Saccharomyces cerevisiae S288C: one gene and its partners. Changing the gene in region 4 together with the main gene of any one other region gives a genetic interaction. Each region holds a gene or a part of one and is shown on either strand. Other genes may lie near its edges.

Region 1 (4,058 bases), on a different chromosome or scaffold from region 4:
GAAGGTCCACCAATTGGACTACCTTCAATTCCCGTATTAAGAAGTGTGTCCGGACCAAGCAAATGGACGAAGACACCTTTACGCTTAGAATCTGGAAATTCAACTAAGTCTGATCCATTTTCACGCTATGAAGGACACAAGACGCCCTCTCCATTGACCAAGATGAACAAGAAGAAAAATAAAACGTTGCCAGAACATGGACAACCCCTCGTGCTAGCTCCAATTAAATCTCAAAGCTCGGAGTCAGACACGGGACAGAACTCCATTATAGAAAAGCCAGCTCGAAGCATACGACGAAAGCAACAAGAAAAAACTGATAATAGGAAAGAAGACAGGCACGATGCTGAAAATATAGACCTGGAGGCGAGAATGCCAATTCAACATATCGATACCGCTTCCATTCATTCGTTTGATTCAGGTCAAAATGGATTCAGGGACGTTTACAGCATCGAAAACATCATTGTGATCCTCCTATGTTGTAGTATAGTGCCGCCATTATTTTTTATTATTGGCTGCAGCTCAAGAAGGAAATTAGTTTCAGACTATAGATTAATGAGGTTGCTTATGAATAAAGAACACCGAGCGGCTTTGCTGCAAGGATTCATATGGGACGTTGATTTAAGGTGGTTCCGGATGTTTTGTCTGATCTTAGGGGCTGCCGAAACAGTGATTGTGATGGCCGGTATTGCTATTGGATTTGGTGTGGGTATAACACGTGAATAAGAAACTGTATCATTCATCAAATAGGATAAAAAATAAAAAACTGTTCTGTCTCGTTAAAGTCATATATATAAATAGGGGATTTTCATTAATTTATATATATAGATATACTTGTGTACATGTACCCGTAAGTATCAAAAGAAACGTGCATAAGGACATGGCCTAAATTAATATTTCCGAGATACTTCCTTAAGCGGTAACTTTCTTTTCAATCAAGTCGAATAGAGTAACAATATCGGCAGAGAATTTTCTGATACCTTCGGACAATTTTTCAGTGGCCATAGCGTCTTCATTCAAGTCGAATCTGAATTTAGATTCGTCGCTGATGTAAGAAATCTTGTCGCCGGCTTCCTTCTTAGCGGAGACAGGGTCCAAAACTCTTGGGAAAGGTTCAGTACTGTTCATCAACTTGTCCAATAAAGCTGGAGAAATTGTTAGATAGTCAACACCAGCCAAGTTTTTGATTTCGTCAGTGCTTCTGAAAGAAGCACCCATAACAATAGTCTTGTAACCGTACTTCTTGTAGTAGTTGTAGATTTTCTTGACGGAAATAACACCTGGGTCGGCTTCACCCTTGTAATCTTTACCAGTGCTGGATTTGTACCAGTCTAGAATTCTACCAACAAATGGGGAAATCAAAGTAACTTGGGCCTCGGCACAGGCAACTGCTTGAACGAAGGAGAATAATAGAGTCAAATTACAGTGGATACCGTCCTTTTCTTCCAATTCTTTGGCAGCTTGAATACCTTCCCAAGTGGAAGCAATTTTAATAAGGACTCTTTCCTTGGAGACACCTTCTTGTTCAAACAATTTAATGATATGTCTAGCCTTTTCAATGGTAGCTTGAGTGTCAAAAGACAATCTAGCATCAACTTCGGTGGAGACTCTGCCTGGAACAATCTTTAAGATCTCCTTACCGAATTCGACTAACAATCTGTCCACAGCATTTTCGACTTGTTCTTCGGTGGTCTTACCATGCTTCTTACCGTATTCCACGGCAACATCGATCAACTTGGCGTAAGTTGGTTGCTTGGCAGCAGCCAAGATCAATGATGGGTTAGTTGTGGAGTCTTGAGGTTGAAACTTGGCAATAGAGCCGAAATCACCAGTGTCGGCAACAACGACAGTGCCGGAGGCTTTCAATTGTTCTAGAGAGTTGTTAGCAACCTTTTGTTTCTTTTGAGCTGGTTCAGACATTATGTACACGTATATGTGACGAGTTCGAGAAGTATTTTACTATCGTACTAAATTTTACCTGAAAAATTATATACTCGAGAAAGAGGAAGCCAAGAATTGAGAAAAAAGAAAAACCCGCGAGTAAGGAAATTAAATACAGGTGTACACATACACGCACACATATATATATATATATATATGTATATGTGTATATAGGAAGCGCGCGCATGTTAGTATATACGATTCGTTGGAAAGGGGCCGTCCACCAAACGTGACTTGACGAGTTGACAAATTGACCTCAATATGGCTCAGTCAGTAATTTTTAGTTCCGCTTTATTCCCGCCATCTTTCAGGCCACGAGGGTAGCTCATAACGCCGCGCTAATGCCGCTGCGTCACAGCAACCAGTAGCTCAGCCAAAACCGAAAGAGAAATCGTAGCTGTCCCGATGAGGACTTATACACTTGTCACCATCTAAATAAATTATTTATTCGCGTTTCGGTTCTTGTTTTCGATTTAATTAGATTGTTCATTGAATCATAATAAATATGTAAAAAATATATATATTTGAAGCTGCTTCAGAAAAACAGGGCTTCCTAGTGTACAGATGTATGTCGGATGAAAAAAAAAAAATCTTAAATGTGAAATTGGGTCAATTCAATTGACTATGACTTGATGTTGCAAAAATTCCAAGAGAAAAAGTTTCCAGCACTTGATATTATTTTCCTCTTTATTGGTTTTCTGGTCTCAACTTTCTGACTTCCTTACCAACCTTCCAGATTTCCATGTTTCTGATGGTGTCTAATTCCTTTTCTAGCTTTTCTCTGTAGTCAGGTTGAGAGTTGAATTCCAAAGATCTCTTGGTTTCGGTACCGTTCTTGGTAGATTCGTACAAGTCTTGGAAAACAGGCTTCAAAGCATTCTTGAAGATTGGGTACCAGTCCAAAGCACCTCTTCTGGCGGTGGTGGAACAAGCATCGTACATGTAATCCATACCGTACTTACCGATCAATGGGTATAGAGATTGGGTAGCTTCTTCGACGGTTTCGTTGAAAGCTTCAGATGGGGAGTGACCGTTTTCTCTCAAGACGTCGTATTGAGCCAAGAACATACCGTGGATACCACCCATTAAACAACCTCTTTCACCGTACAAGTCAGAGTTGACTTCTCTTTCGAAAGTGGTTTGGTAAACGTAACCGGAACCAATGGCAACGGCCAAAGCTTGGGCCTTTTCGTGAGCCTTACCGGTGACATCGTTCCAGACGGCGTAAGAAGAGTTAATACCACGACCTTCCTTGAACAAAGATCTGACAGTTCTACCGGAACCCTTTGGAGCAACCAAGATAACATCTAAGTCCTTTGGTGGTTCAACGTGAGTCAAGTCCTTGAAGACTGGGGAGAAACCGTGGGAGAAGTACAAAGTCTTACCCTTGGTCAACAATGGCTTGATAGCAGGCCAGGTTTCTGATTGAGCGGCATCGGACAACAAGTTCATAACGTAACTACCTCTCTTGATAGCATCTTCAACAGTGAACAAGTTCTTGCCTGGAACCCAACCGTCTTCGATGGCAGCCTTCCAAGAAGCACCATCTTTACGGACACCAATGATAACGTTCAAACCGTTGTCTCTCAAGTTCAAACCTTGACCGTAACCTTGGGAACCGTAACCGATCAAAGCAAAAGTGTCGTTCTTGAAGTAGTCCAACAACTTTTCTCTTGGCCAGTCAGCTCTTTCGTAGACGGTTTCAACAGTACCACCGAAGTTGATTTGCTTCAAACCACGGGTAGTGATCATTGGCTTAACGAAACGGGCAGCTGGTCTGCTGTAAGCAGCAGCACGGGTGGCCAAAGCAAAGGTTCTCTTAGCAGTGATGACACGGGAGTTGCAGATCAATCTGGCGGCTTGAGTTCTCAACATGTTTTATTTTTTACTTATATTGCTGGTAGGGTAAAAAAATATAACTCCTAGGAATAGGTTGTCTATATGTTTTTGTCTTGCTTCTATAATTGTAACAAACAAGGAAAGGGAAAATACTGGGTGTAAAAGCCATTGAGTCAAGTTAGGTCATCCCTTTTATACAAAATTTTTCAATTTTTTTTCCAAGATTCTTGTACGATTAATTATTTTTTTTTTGCGTCCTACAGCGTGATGAAAATTTCGCC
Region 2 (5,535 bases), on a different chromosome or scaffold from region 4:
ATCCATGTTGGGTTCGTGATCCCTTGGAGTACTACCTTTAAAGATGAAATAACCTATCAATGCACCTAATGGTTGAGATCCACCACCGAGAACGGCAGTAATCAAAATGGCAACCCATTTAGATTCGAAAACAGTGTAGAATGGTAACGTCATTGCAAATCCTTCGACAAAATTATGGATCGTCAAACTTAAAAAAATGGAAAATCCCAAGGACTTTGACGAATCTGACCTGTTAGTGTAAAAAATAATAAACCCTTCGGGAAATTTGTGTAATGCAAGGACTAGACAAGTTTGCATACCAATAGACAGTAATTTGGAAAAAGGGGTCTCTAAGTGATGATGGTGGGGGTATAATGAACCATTTTCGGGATGGTATTGTGTGTCTGCCAATGCGGCCGGATTCTCAGTTACATCATTTCCCAAAGGTGACGAAAAAGAGTGCGACAACTGGTTGGAACCATAATTTTCGGGCGATTCAGAGGAATGATGATGGCGGCTCGAAAGAAAATTCTTACGGTACAACGATAGGTTTTCAAGATCGTAACCGATATTATTTTCCACGCATACAAGGCCACGATGATCCTTGTCATCGGATTGTCCATTATCTTCTGATCCCTCGCATCCATGTGGCACGTTTCTTTCACTTTGAGAAGACTTTATCACTGGTGGGACACATGCAATATATTCTGGCTGCTCTGATTGCAAGAGCGGAGTGCACTTGTTTAGGTCACAACACTCGCCTTCTGATTTCCTTCTGGTTAATAAGTCAATTAGGGACATTTTCTTTTTCATTTGGGGTCTATCGCTATCCTTTGTAATCAACGGGTCATTTTCAGAAACACTGGAAGAAGATGTTGCATAACCATGCTCAGAGGGAGCATTTTCTAAATCATGATCGTTGCTAAAATTCGAATGCGAATCCGCATGTGAGTGTGAGTGCGAATGCGAATGTGATTTGGAGTGTATATGTGAACCTGTAGCATGGTCACCGCTATCAGCACAGTGTACCAACGATTCGCTGGCGAAAGCGTGGACTAGGTAGTTTAAGAAAAAACTGAGGCAAATACCCAAAAGCAATCCAGGAAAAACCTTGAACCGGTTTGATTTTTCGATCCGAGGCAATAGCATGTATAGTGAAGTAGTGATCATAGATCCGGCACTTAGAGAAAGACCATAGTTGACCAACTTAGATTGGCTATTGCGCTTGCTATCGAAGGCAACCGATAACAACGGCACACACAGGGCCCCAAGTATGCACAGCACCGACGATATAAGAGAAAACAACAACCACCTGGGAATTTTTTCCATTTTCTTGCGTTTCTTCACTGTGATGCTTGTGAGAATATTAGGATATACCAACGTGCAACTCTGAAATGTCAAAACGGTCGTGTATAAATAAATGATATACCAGTAGGTGAAATCATCTCATTTGTCTTTCTAAAAAAGTCCATTACCCTTAAGGTTGTTGTCACAACCCACGGAGCAGTTTTAGAGGTGCAAAATTGAAAGAATGGCCACATTTTGAGCAATTCATCGACAACAAGAGCTTATGATTAACTTGGGTTGTGGGCAATTGGGTGTACTATGAAGCAGCCAATACCTGTTTTACAACAGTATTCTCAGTTTCAGCTTAGAGATGTGTCAAATCGAAGGCTAGTGTGGTGCACGGAGTTTATGGCACATTGGTAAGTAATCATTGCAACTTTTTTTTATTTGAGGAATATAGTAAGAGAGAAGCTTTAGTGATGGTCAAAGAAGAGAGGAATACAAGTGAGTTGTATCTAGGATTTTTTATTACGTGAGTGTTGTTTTACTTTAGTCGGTAGGAATCATTGTTATTTTTGTCTGTTTGTTTGTCTCTATTTTTGGGTACACGTGCGTGTTTCTTCTAGTGGATGGTTTGAACGAAGCAGGTTCTCAGGATTGATTGATTGATCTGCTTTAGTGTGTAACGTTCTGCGACTAGCTTTCGTTGCTACCGATATATAAAGAAAAAAAGGAGAGCGTGTGTTTGGAGCGTCTTAAACCCCATTGGTGAGAGCCTCCAGTACCATTTGCCTGTTAAAACTGTCTTGTGTGTGGCCTTGTAGAGAAGGTGAAGAGGGAGAGTTTATATGTTGGGTAATTTACTGAGAAATAAGACGAGTTCGTCTGGTTTTGAGAAGAGCTCAGAGCATTCCGATTTTTCCTCCGTAGTTCCCAATGTCCCTGTATACTGCAAAGCGGCAAGCACAGGAACTACTAAGACCGCTGCTGGAGCTCTTTTAGATACTGCAGTCAATGTGGAAAAGCCTTCGGAAATGCTATCAACGACTTCTCCGCCCATTTTAGATCATATATCGGATGACTTAAAACTGAAGCTTTTCGGCTCGAGGGATATTCCTTATAGTCGTCCTATCGATACGTTACAAAACAACGGAGGTCTTGGTACTGATAAAATCACGTCTATTAACGAAAAAACGTATGCATTCAGGATTTTGATCATTGAGGAAGCGGGTCAAATGGCGTGTAGGAACAACTACCGTGATATCTTCGATTACACTACGTCAAAGATTTCAAATTCGATGGAGCAGATACGGCCGAGTGAATTGAAGGAATATATATTTGGTTCTCCCGTAAGATCTTCCGATTTGACGCAGTGCGACAAGATAAGGACGATTCCTAACTCGGATTTGGTACTCATAACTAGAATTTTCTATTACACACACCAATACAACCGCATCGCAATTAGCTTATGCATACCGAGGATATTGTTGCCCGTAGTTGCAGAGTCGTGGTCTTCCATTTCATCATGGTTGACCCAGACTCAAAAAATGCTCATTGGTTTCTTGACTAAAAACCGTATTATGCAAGAAAATACTGGCAATTACAGCAATAATTCAGTCATAAAATTGTCAAATATTGACATCAGGACGCATTATCCCAAGGAAATTGAAATAATGGTGCAAACTTTACAAAAAAGAGTCATACCAGGTTTACGTTCTATGTCTGAGATTCCTAGGCTTTTCCTTTACCCTGAGACATTTAAAGAATTCGTTCACGTTTGGTTCAAAAGTATATTTAATTGGATTGAAATCAAAGATGGACCGAAACTAGGCTTCCTTCCTCTCCTAATGGCAATGATTATATCTGATTACAGGCACACTATAAGAGAACTAAAGACATCCAAGATCGTAATCCTGTCAGGAAACATGGTGGTTGCTAACAAGTTACTGTTCATCTTATCGGCTTTATTGGAGCCAAAGTACAAGGGACAAATAACGATACGGCGGGAAAACATAAGATCGGATTCGTCCGCTGTATCAAGAAATAAGTCTAACAATAATTTTGTCGATAAGCCTGAGACGGAATTGAGCACACTGACTTCAACAGACAACCTTTTGAGTCGCACAGAAAATAATAGCAATCATAATTACAACAACAGTAATGTGAGCTCTAACAGCATTGGATCACCCAATTTCCATTCTTTGAGGAAAGGATGGCAAATACCCAATCGGAGGAACTCGAACACTTCAGTATCTGTGTCTTCTAGTGAGTCTTTAGCGGAAGTTATTCAGCCATCTTCCTTCAAAAGTGGGAGTAGTTCATTGCATTATCTATCGTCTTCTATCTCAAGCCAACCTGGTTCGTACGGTTCTTGGTTCAACAAAAGGCCAACAATTTCTCAGTTCTTTCAACCAAGCCCTTCTTTAAAACACAACGAGTCGTGGGAGAGGCTGCAAACAACTGCTGGAAATATGCAAAGGACTTCAAGTTCGTCTTCTTTGCAGCAAGCAACCTCCAGGTTATCACTAACCACTCCGCAACAATCACCGTCTATCAGCGAATATGATGAGTATCCTTGGATGGGCACACCTGGCTCTCCTAATGTTGGAGATGTGTCTCACGCACCCCCATTGGTTAAGAATATATCATATAAATTTCCACTAAAGAACGTTGAGTTGAAAAGAGATTGCCAAAGGATCTCTCAGGATGATCTTTTGGATGAGGCTTTTGAAAGAATATGTCAGCCCTCTTTGGCTGACCTTAATTCCACTTACGAAATTTTTCCAGGTAACTCTTCTTATGCGGATATTTTGACTACTGATTCTGATATTGATGATGGCTTGATGAATAAACCTCTGGAACTATTGCCGAAATATACAATGTATTTAACCCATTTTAACAATTTTTTCCAGTTGCAAGCATGTCCTGCTGGTCAAGAATCAGAGAGCAGAATAACAAATTCTATGAAGATTGACCTGTTAAAGGCGGATTACACAAGAAGTCTATTAGTATCGTTACGTTCAAGGGACATTAGGGATGTCGCATTGAAAAGAGAGTTTACTGGCAATAACAACAATAACAGCAACCAGAATATCTATGATGAGAATTTTGTCGGAAAAAGGAAGTACGTGTTGAAACAGAAGACCAGAAAAATCTTTTCCTGTGGCAAGATTGGCAAGCTAAGTACTAGTTTGGAAAACTGCGTTAATTTTGTTGAAAATAGTATAAAGAGTGCAATGATGTTATATGATGATAATGGAATAGATAGTGAGCTTCGCGATTCAGAAGCTTTACGGATTTTTTCATCTCTTGTTCATTATTGTAATGCAGGTTAATGTTTTCTCCTTCTTTACATGTTTAATATATTCCAAGTTACCTAAGAGGTGTACGATATTTTTTTCTTTTATATATATGATTTTCTCTATTCATTTTTTAGTTTTTTTTGATACATAAGCGAATCGCACATTGCGCAACTTCAATTTGTTGATTCGCCAAAGTATTCTTACCATAAAACAACCATTCGTTGCTTTACCCTTTCGTAATCATTTACCGTGATAACCATAATCAGAAACTTATTATTTCAGCCTAGTAGACCGGCCAAGCAGGCCTTGTAATGTTTCTCTTGATTGCTTGAATCTTTTAAGCAGCCAAATCTTTCCAAAAAAATGCAATTATCAGAACAAAACTATTTAAGGTGACTTCTCCGTATTTACACCACCAGAAGCGTTCTGGCTCCCCTTTTCTCTAAACGTTAAACATTTTACAATTGAAATGTTACCAATCCTATATTATTGTACCACATTGCCAGATTTATGAACTCTGGGTATGGGTGCTAATTTTCGTTAGAAGCGCTGGTACAATTTTCTCTGTCATTGTGACACTAATTAGGAAACTTCTCGACTATCAATGTGTAAATGAAGGAATAATGGCGGAAACTTTGAAACTTTGTCAATAATTGCATCATTGGATGCGTTTCATTTGGCCGTTATCACGGAGAGGCAGAGTTCTCTCCACAATTTGGGCAGAAGTCTTTTGAAAAGACATATATATATATATATATGTATATGAGTGGATGCTTAAGGTAAGAATAATTTCTGAATTCCCAAGTATTCATTTTGTGCAGTATTCACATATTCTATTTTATTGCTTTTTAACTTTAGAGGCAATTAAATTTGTGTAGGAAAGGCAAAATACTATCAAAATTTTCATGTCATACAAGTCAGCAATAATAGGGCTTTGTTTGCTAGCTGTGATACTATTAGCTCCCCC
Region 3 (4,570 bases), on a different chromosome or scaffold from region 4:
TTATTCATAAAACATATGAAGAGAGAAAATGATTTGCTGATTAAAGACATCAAATTTTACAATGATTTTGTCAACAAATTTTGGAAACCAACATTGAACAATTTACAAAAAATGGAAGCAACCAATTCAATGAATAGCAGGCTGCTGGAAGTGATGAGCAAACAGTTTAATATAATATCAACAGAGCAAGTTGAAAGAGATTGTAAAATTCCATTGCAAGAACTAAGAGATCTTAATGAGAGCTTCCTTCGTGAGGCAGAAAACGATTTGTCATCTCGTTATTCAGCTTACATTAAGGATTTAGTCGCAGCTAAAGAGGCACTAATTGGATGTGAGAAAAGAGTTCAGTCTATATATAAATTGAAAAAAGCCAATACGCCAGTGGAAAATTCTTCCTCTGTTTTTGATAATGGAAAGGATAGTGCACCGTTAACCAGGTTGAACTTCGTATGCGAGTTTCCTTACACTTTAGACGAGAGGTTAAAATTTGAGGATTGCGACCAATTTATGTCATTTTTGCAAACCTTGAAGGGAAAAGTCATCCTGGAGAAAAGTGTCTTTTCCGTTCCAGGATTGTCAAATCAAAGTTTCCAAGGCAGGTCATTGATCAAAGAATTGAAAAAACTTGAACCCAGACTAAACCTGTCCTTATTTAATATCGATAGGATAGGTAACGAATTCATCCAACTGGGTATAATACAAGAATATTCCCTGAGTTTTTACTCTAGCAAAGTTTCTCAGTTTGACCAGGAAAAATACTATTACTGGAACAGTGAAGTCCTTGCTACGCAAGAGAGTAATGGTAATGCTGGAAACAGAAAAAAAAAATCGTATGGTGAGTTAACACACTCCGACAATGAACACGAAGAAAAGTCCAACGTTTCATCTATCAAAACATCTATATCCGATTGGATCCGCAAAGTTAGTCAACATGATAATGATGATTGCGATGCAGCGGGAAGTACAGATATGAATAAAAATGAGTGGAAGAGTTTAAAACAGCAACTTGAATCATCACAAGATATTTTTTTCTCCAAGTGTTGCCAGTTGGAATATTCTAAAGTGCAGTTGGAAAAAACCATTTATGATTATTGTAAAAATTACTCTAAAATGGAGGACGGAATCAAACGAGCTCTAGAATCATCAAACATGATGTTTCAACAAAAATGTGAAAAATTTACTGACTCACCTGTGTGTTCTCTACAAGAAGCACAACTGCCACAGGAAACTGCCAATGCGGATGTAAGAGGGTTTTTCCTCAGGGATAATGGCATACCCTTTCGCAGGTGGAATATCCTAGAAGCGAGTGATCCAGTCGACGCTTGCAAAGAAATCTCCATAAAAAGCGAAAAGTTTTTCTGTGGTAGTGAAATAAATAATGAACTGGCTGCTCTTGATACGTTAGGGGCAATAAAGATTATACTGCGGCAGATTGAAAAGGAACCAAATGCTAATAAAGTCATACAAAGTTGGCACAGGGATATTGATTTTGTAAGGGTTTCTAATTTGAAAAGAGACTTATTGGGGGAATTCAAAGGATCGAAAACTACCGAAAATACAAACTCTATAATCACTGCTCATTTTTTTGAAAACTCGCACAGCTATGTCACTAATGATCTCGTCGGACTGATAAAATTATGGCTGTTAGAGCTACCCGACAGCCTAATACCTTCAAACCACTACGATGACTTAATTAAGGCCGAAAAATCGCTAACATCCCTATGTGAACAGTTTCCGACGAGCTCCTTAAGGTTTCTACAAGAACTAGCAAACCATTTTCAATTGATCAATAGCAAATACTCACTTCCGCCGCAAACAATACAAGATTTGTTTAGAGACAACAGTGACATAGACATACCATTGGCCCATCACTTCGTAAGAAGAACAGGCTTACAGAACCCTATCGACATCAAAATCTTGTCACCAACATTATCTACATTTTTCATCAACGAAAGAACTGTAGAAACTTTGCAAACGTTGATCGCAAACAGGATCACGACGGCAACTACTGCGACACTCACTGAACCGCCGACGATAATTATAAAGGATACAACGGCACCTATACACTCTACCCCTAAGCCACCGCCAAACGACAAGGATGGCCATTTCATACCTCGGCCATTCAAGACTAGTTCTACTCCGACAACCCCAGAGAGACCTAAACGTAAGAGTGGTTTATTCCTTCCCATCAACGTCAACGATGTCCCTTCTACATAACTCCATGCATGCTACATAGTAACTACGTAAATCACCTGCTACCTCTCTGTTCTTTCGTCCCGCCTCGAGGTTGTGCTGCTTTTGTACCTATTGTGGCTGTCGGTGTTACATTACGGTGCCTCGGTGTTACGCGGTGCTTCGTCCTGGTGGTCCACGCGGCCTTGCGCTTTGGCCTTGGTGGGCTTCGAGGCTGTATTATATAAATGGGCCTGATGTTCGTTAAAAGCTGCAGTATTGTTCCTGAGCTTGTTTCTTTTTCAAAGGTTTCCTTTTTTCTTAGTGGGGTCCTTTCTTACATAATAAAGTAAATAGCCTGATACATATAAACCTGTATTGTTGCCATTACAGAAAAAAGCCACTTTCTATACAAAAACTACAATAAAATGTCTGCTGATTTCGGTTTGATTGGTTTGGCCGTCATGGGTCAAAATTTGATCTTGAACGCTGCTGACCACGGTTTCACTGTTTGTGCTTACAACAGAACTCAATCCAAGGTCGACCATTTCTTGGCCAATGAAGCTAAGGGCAAATCTATCATCGGTGCTACTTCCATTGAAGATTTCATCTCCAAATTGAAGAGACCTAGAAAGGTCATGCTTTTGGTTAAAGCTGGTGCTCCAGTTGACGCTTTGATCAACCAAATCGTCCCACTTTTGGAAAAGGGTGATATTATCATCGATGGTGGTAACTCTCACTTCCCAGATTCTAATAGACGTTACGAAGAATTGAAGAAGAAGGGTATTCTTTTCGTTGGTTCTGGTGTCTCCGGTGGTGAGGAAGGTGCCCGTTACGGTCCATCTTTGATGCCAGGTGGTTCTGAAGAAGCTTGGCCACATATTAAGAACATCTTCCAATCCATCTCTGCTAAATCCGACGGTGAACCATGTTGCGAATGGGTTGGCCCAGCCGGTGCTGGTCACTACGTCAAGATGGTTCACAACGGTATTGAATACGGTGATATGCAATTGATTTGTGAAGCTTATGACATCATGAAGAGATTGGGTGGGTTTACCGATAAGGAAATCAGTGACGTTTTTGCCAAATGGAACAATGGTGTCTTGGATTCCTTCTTGGTCGAAATTACCAGAGATATTTTGAAATTCGACGACGTCGACGGTAAGCCATTAGTTGAAAAAATCATGGATACTGCTGGTCAAAAGGGTACTGGTAAGTGGACTGCCATCAACGCCTTGGATTTGGGTATGCCAGTTACTTTGATTGGTGAAGCTGTCTTTGCCCGTTGTCTATCTGCTTTGAAGAACGAGAGAATTAGAGCCTCCAAGGTCTTACCAGGCCCAGAAGTTCCAAAAGACGCCGTCAAGGACAGAGAACAATTTGTCGATGATTTGGAACAAGCTTTGTATGCTTCCAAGATTATTTCTTACGCTCAAGGTTTCATGTTGATCCGTGAAGCTGCTGCTACTTATGGCTGGAAACTAAACAACCCTGCCATCGCTTTGATGTGGAGAGGTGGTTGTATCATTAGATCTGTTTTCTTGGGTCAAATCACAAAGGCCTACAGAGAAGAACCAGATTTGGAAAACTTGTTGTTCAACAAGTTCTTCGCTGATGCCGTCACCAAGGCTCAATCTGGTTGGAGAAAGTCAATTGCGTTGGCTACCACCTACGGTATCCCAACACCAGCCTTTTCCACCGCTTTGTCTTTCTACGATGGGTACAGATCTGAAAGATTGCCAGCCAACTTACTACAAGCTCAACGTGACTACTTTGGTGCTCACACTTTCAGAGTGTTGCCAGAATGTGCTTCTGACAACTTGCCAGTAGACAAGGATATCCATATCAACTGGACTGGCCACGGTGGTAATGTTTCTTCCTCTACATACCAAGCTTAAAGGAAATCTCCAACCTGGACATAAACCAAAAAAATTTAATGAAATAGATTAGTTATAGTAAAAGTAATCATAATAATAAATAGATAAATAAATCCAAATGCAATTATAAATAGTATATGAAGTTATGTGTTTTCTAAAATATTAAAGGTTTATAAACGGGGTCCCGAAACTATCTCCATTTCTTTTTTTTTTTTTACGTAAGGAAAGGCAAACAGGCGACACAAAATCATGAAGTCAGAAAATAAAATAAAAGTGAAAAATTTCACAATAGTGCCTATTATCATGATAGAAGTAGAGTAGAAAAGCTAGCAACAATGAGAAGCTCTGGCACATATGAGAATGATCCTTCTGGGGAAATAACCTCAACTTCCCCAAAGCAGTCGAAGCAGAAAAAGCCTACCAAATTTAGGGAAAGAATGCGCAGGTGGTTACAAAATGGGAAAAATAACAACCACCAAGGAGAGGAGGATGTTCCTGAAATATTTAACAAGAATTTTTAT
Region 4 (4,806 bases):
ACACTGTACGATGATCAGGGCTTTCCCCCACATGATAATTAGAAGTGCCAAATGAATCAATCTTGTTGAATCGATTTTCTAGATTAGCCTTTTCGACTTCATGTTTGAAAATGGCTTCCGCCATTGGTGATCTACAGAAGTTACCCAAACAAATGAATGCGACCGATATTTTTGGTTTTTCAATTGTCATTTTCGTGTTAACTTTCCCTTCTCAGTTTTCTATCGCTTATCAAAAATCACAGGGTTTCAATTAGCCTTTTAGGAGTTATATTCTTTATTGGCTTTATACTTGAATGGTGTGATTCTCTCGAAGGGTTTAACATTCAAGCTCGGCCATGTGCTGGTACAAGGAAAAAGAAAGAAAAAGTAATCATTGAAATTTTTCTATAATACGTACACCTATAATATAAGAAGGAAAAGGACTGAGTGTTTGGAATATTGTTAAAAGTTTGAAACTATTTTTTTGCTTAATCGTTTATAAAAAAAGTTGTATTTAAGTTGTATAAAGTTTTATTTCATTTTTTCACAAATAATATCATATCAAATCTGATGATCTACGATCAGAATTTAGAAAGCTTTTTTCAAAGGAGAAATTAGCTTGTCACCCTTATAGAATGCAATGGTCTTTTGAGCTCTTTCAGCAACACCTTCTGGGGTGAAACCGAAGAACTTGAAGACTTCTGGTGCCTTACCGGAGGCACCAAATCTGTCAATACCGAAGGATTGATGAGCGTATTTGCCCCAACATGTGGTAGCCAAAACTTCAACAGACATGATTGGAACGTTGTCTGGTAAGACTGATAGTCTGTATTCTAGGGGTTGTTTGTCAAAAGTGAAGAAATCTGGTAGAGAAACAACACGAGCCTTGATGTTCTTTGCGGCCAAAGTCTTAGCAGCTTCAACACTCAAAGACACTTCGGAACCAGTAGCCACTAAAATAATATCTGGGTTAGCAACATCTTGTAGTACGTAACCACCCTTAGAAGCGCTTTCAATAGAGCTACCTTCCAATTGTGGCAAGTTTTGTCTGGACAAAGCAATGATACTTGGAGTATGCTTGGATTCTAAAGAGTTCTTGTAGGCGGCAGAAACTTCGTTACCATCAGCTGGTCTCCAAACTTGAATGTTTGGTAGGGATCTGAAGTGTGCTAAAGTTTCAATAGGTTGATGTGTTGGACCATCTTCACCGACACCGATAGAGTCATGTGTAGCAACCCAAATAACTGGGTGGCCAGACAAAGCGGACAATCTAACGGCACCAGCAGCATAAGAAACGAAGTTCAAGAAAGTACCACCGTATGGTTTGTAGTTGGCACCGAAAGCTGAAATACCGTTCATTATGGCACCCATAGCGTGTTCTCTAATACCGTACCTAATGTATCTACCAGAGTAGTTACCTGAACCGGAAGAAGGAGGTTGGAAGTCAAGGGCTTCCTTCCATCTGGTCAAGTTAGAAGGTGTTAAATCGGCAGAACCACCAATCAACTCTGGCAATTGATTGTAAACATCCTCAAGAACAGTTTCTGATAATTTTCTAGTGGCCACGGCAGAGTCCTTGGCGGTGTAAGTTGGCAACTTAGATTCCCAATTTGCGGGTAGTTGGCCGCTCAATCTTCTAGCCAATTCAGCACCTAATTCTGGGAATTTCTTTTGGTATTCGCTGAACAACTTGTTCCACTTGTTGTTGGCTTCGACACCTGGCTTTAAAATTGTCTTTTGGTAGTGGTCGTAAACTTCTTGTGGAACAACAAAGGACTTGTCTGGGTTGAAACCGAATTTGCTCTTTAGTTGTTTAACATCATCTGCTTTCAATGGGGCACCGTGCACAGAGTGAGAGCCGGCATGCAAGGAACCGTAACCAATGGTTGTGGTCATTTTGATCAAAGTTGGTTTGTCCTTGGATAACTTAGCTTGAGCAATAGCCTTGGCAATACCGGCTAGATCTTCGTTACCATTTTCTACGTACAAAACTTCCCAACCGTAGGCTTCGTATCTCTTAGCAACATCTTCATCGAATGAGATACTGGTAGCACCATCGATAGTGATCTTGTTGTCATCGTAGATGGCAATCAAGTTACCCAATTTCAAATGACCAGCCAAGGAGGAAGCTTCTGAAGAAATACCTTCTTGCAAACAACCGTCACCCAAGAAAACATAGGTGTAGTTGTCAGACAAGGTAAAGCCCGGCTTGTTGTAAGTGGCAGCCAGGTTAGCTTGAGCCATGGCCATACCAACAGCGTTGGAGATACCTTGACCTAATGGACCGGTAGTAACTTCAACACCTGGCAACTCAAATTCAGGATGACCTGGTGTTCTGGAACCCAACTGTCTGAACTGTTTCAAGTCTTCAATAGACAGATCGTAACCAGTCAAATGTAGCATAGAATACAACAAAGCGACCGCGTGACCGTTAGACAAGACAAATCTATCTCTGTTGATCCAGTCTGGGTTGGTTGGGTTCATGCGCATTTGACTCCATAGAACGTGTGCAGCTGGTGCCATACCCAATGGAGCACCTGGGTGACCTGAGTTGGCCTTGGATACGGTGTCCACAGCCAAAATTCTTATGGTGGAGACGGCTAGCTTATCAATGTCAGTGAATTGAGTCATTTTGTTTGCTAAAGAGGTAACTATGTAGAGTTGCTTGGGATGAGCTTCCTTCTCTGTTGTACTTCAGTTTGATCTGAAACTTAAAAAACGAAATTTAAAAGGAAGACAACGGTGAGAACAAGAAATGAATGAATCAAGAAGTCACGATCAAGTATGTAGGTAAAAGATCAGGGGGGAGTATGTACGTAACCAAAAAGATTGGGAAAGAGTTTATATATGAATCATGCCTACGATCGTACCTTCTTGGCTTTCCCAAGAAAATTTTTCATCTCTCGAACTTCTCGAGAGATTGCGAACGGAACGGCAAACGCCGCCGGCATTTCTCGGAAAGAAGACTAGAAAATAAATGACGGTGGGAAAAAAAGCAAGAAGCTACGGTTACCCGCAGCGGCACTATAGTAGATGGGCTTTTAAGCCCGTTTTCAGGGTCAGGTAATATGTAATGTAGTAGCACTTAAACTTGCTAACCATAAATGACCAAAATGCAAGTTTGCTGTATTTTAGTCCCGTTGGCGTTTTCGGATGCTTCATTCCCCAGAGAAGTGATGTGTATGCGAAAAATGTCTCAATGCAGCTTTGGCTGCTGCGGAACTTATCCGCTTTGTAAGCACATCTTGTTTTAATGTGTATGAATTTTTATATTTGGTTCGAAAATTATGACATTCGGCCAAGAAACTTTCAGAGGAGCTGTGTATTAGCAGATGGTAAGCGCACGTTGAAAATGCTGAATATTATTAATTTAGACATACCTTGATGGCTGAACAGTAGTCAGAAAATTAAAAAAAAAAAAAAAGCGCTTATTACGGCGTATACACGTAACTATATAGACGTAGATCATTGAATATTGATATGATATAATATTTTCCCCGGGATTGCAGAATACTGACACGCCTTTTATTTATCGTTCATCGTGTATTTCGAACTTGTCCTCAAACGGGCTCTCAGTGCGACTGCCCTGGGTGCTCTCGCGTATCGATTCTGGAATTTCCAAGTCCAGTATAAAACTTCCTTCTTCATCGTCATCTTCGTCGTTATTACCATGGCTTGCCTCGCTTTTTGCCATGTGTGAAAGATCATCCGCCTCTGTCTGTTCTTCAATGACATCCAAGTCCTGAATCTCCTTATCACTCTCTTCCTCTGCGATTTGAACCAGTTTAGGTTTAGCACGAATAGCAGTTATGAGGTTATCGTCTGCGTCCTTATTGAGTACCTGGTTATGCTCGTCATCTTCGTCATCCAGACCATCCAAGATGGAAGAACCTAAGGTTATATGTGACCTGATATCACCAGCTGCATTTTGTCTCTTAGAGCTCGAGCGTAGTTTTGATTGCAGTTTGTCGGTACTCAAACCGCTTGTCACACCAGGAATGTAGGCAATAGGCAAAATATTAGAAGCCCTTGTACGAGTGGTAGATGCTGAACTTCTGTTTCCCGGCACGTTGAGAGTTGGAGGTACCAGTGACGTATTGAACAGGGTGTGACTTTCATCTTTTCTCATACCGCCATCATCCTCATCGTCTTCATCATCATCGTCTTCATCGTCGAAGTATTCCTCTTCATTCCCGTAACTTTGCGATGCCTCTTCCAATTTCAAAGCTTTATTTTTTTGCCTTTTGGGCTTCCAATATCTCTTGTTGATGAAATACAACGCCACCAAGGCAATAAGCATCGCACCACCTACAATACCCACGGTGAACCCCACAATCAACGAGGTTTTCTCATTTGAATTACTGGAACTAGAACTAGAGGAGGAGGAAGATAAACTACTCAGTTGTGAATCGGACTGTTTCGCACAGTATGTGGATGGGCACTTGTCACATGTTAATGAAGTCATAACACAATATTCTCCTGAAGCGCAAACAGGGCATGATGCAGTTGAATCGCAAACAACACATCCGTCGCTGCCTCTAGTTGCAGAAGTTGAAGAGGTGGCTGTGCTTGACAAGGATGAACTTGCAGAAGCCTTGGAGGAGCTCGACATTTTTTGTTTGATTTTCAGAAAACGAACGTAACCAGTTTGATAAATGTGGTGCCTCTCTTATTCGGCCTGGGAAGCAGTGCAACAATAGCGCACATTATAATCATTTGATTTTAAATTCACCCCAGGACAATGGGGCATTATTTTCTGTTGAGAGGGTAACGCGTTGTTTATTGAGAACTTAACGCGTTTCGATTTCAAGAATGCACTATAGTGCG

The links.
Region 1: mutations in TKL1 (region 4) and TAL1 impair growth when combined (synthetic growth defect), as found in Saccharomyces cerevisiae (one study listed by BioGRID).
Region 2: mutations in TKL1 (region 4) and LST4 together harm fitness more than expected from each alone (negative genetic interaction), as found in Saccharomyces cerevisiae (2 studies listed by BioGRID).
Region 3: mutations in TKL1 (region 4) and GND1 are lethal when combined (synthetic lethality), as found in Saccharomyces cerevisiae (2 studies listed by BioGRID, with this or other methods).

Annotation. Positions count from the first base shown.
Region 1 is NC_001144.5:835,441-839,498, forward strand, and holds TAL1 (sedoheptulose-7-phosphate:D-glyceraldehyde-3-phosphate transaldolase TAL1), read right to left. Parts: upstream 1,918-4,058; coding exon 910-1,917; downstream 1-909. Other genes in the region: BUD8 (Bud8p), read left to right, coding at 1-723; ILV5 (ketol-acid reductoisomerase), read right to left, coding at 2,626-3,813. UniProt on the Saccharomyces cerevisiae protein: Transaldolase is important for the balance of metabolites in the pentose-phosphate pathway.
Region 2 is NC_001143.9:114,566-120,100, reverse strand, and holds LST4 (Lst4p), read left to right. Parts: upstream 1-2,114; coding exon 2,115-4,601; downstream 4,602-5,535. Other genes in the region: Zn(2+) transporter ZRT3, read right to left, coding at 1-1,308; STE3 (Ste3p), read left to right, coding at 5,474-5,535. UniProt on the Saccharomyces cerevisiae protein: Involved in extracellular amino acid uptake. Required for the trafficking of the GAP1 nitrogen-regulated general amino acid permease from the Golgi to the plasma membrane.
Region 3 is NC_001140.6:468,360-472,929, forward strand, and holds GND1 (phosphogluconate dehydrogenase (decarboxylating) GND1), read left to right. Parts: upstream 1-2,600; coding exon 2,601-4,070; downstream 4,071-4,570. Other genes in the region: RGD3 (Rgd3p), read left to right, coding at 1-2,217; SSP1 (Ssp1p), read left to right, coding at 4,385-4,570. UniProt on the Saccharomyces cerevisiae protein: Catalyzes the oxidative decarboxylation of 6-phosphogluconate to ribulose 5-phosphate and CO(2), with concomitant reduction of NADP to NADPH.
Region 4 is NC_001148.4:692,229-697,034, forward strand, and holds TKL1 (transketolase TKL1), read right to left. Parts: upstream 2,611-4,806; coding exon 568-2,610; downstream 1-567. Other genes in the region: tyrosine protein phosphatase LTP1, read right to left, coding at 1-190; OPY2 (Opy2p), read right to left, coding at 3,509-4,591. UniProt on the Saccharomyces cerevisiae protein: Catalyzes the transfer of a two-carbon ketol group from a ketose donor to an aldose acceptor, via a covalent intermediate with the cofactor thiamine pyrophosphate.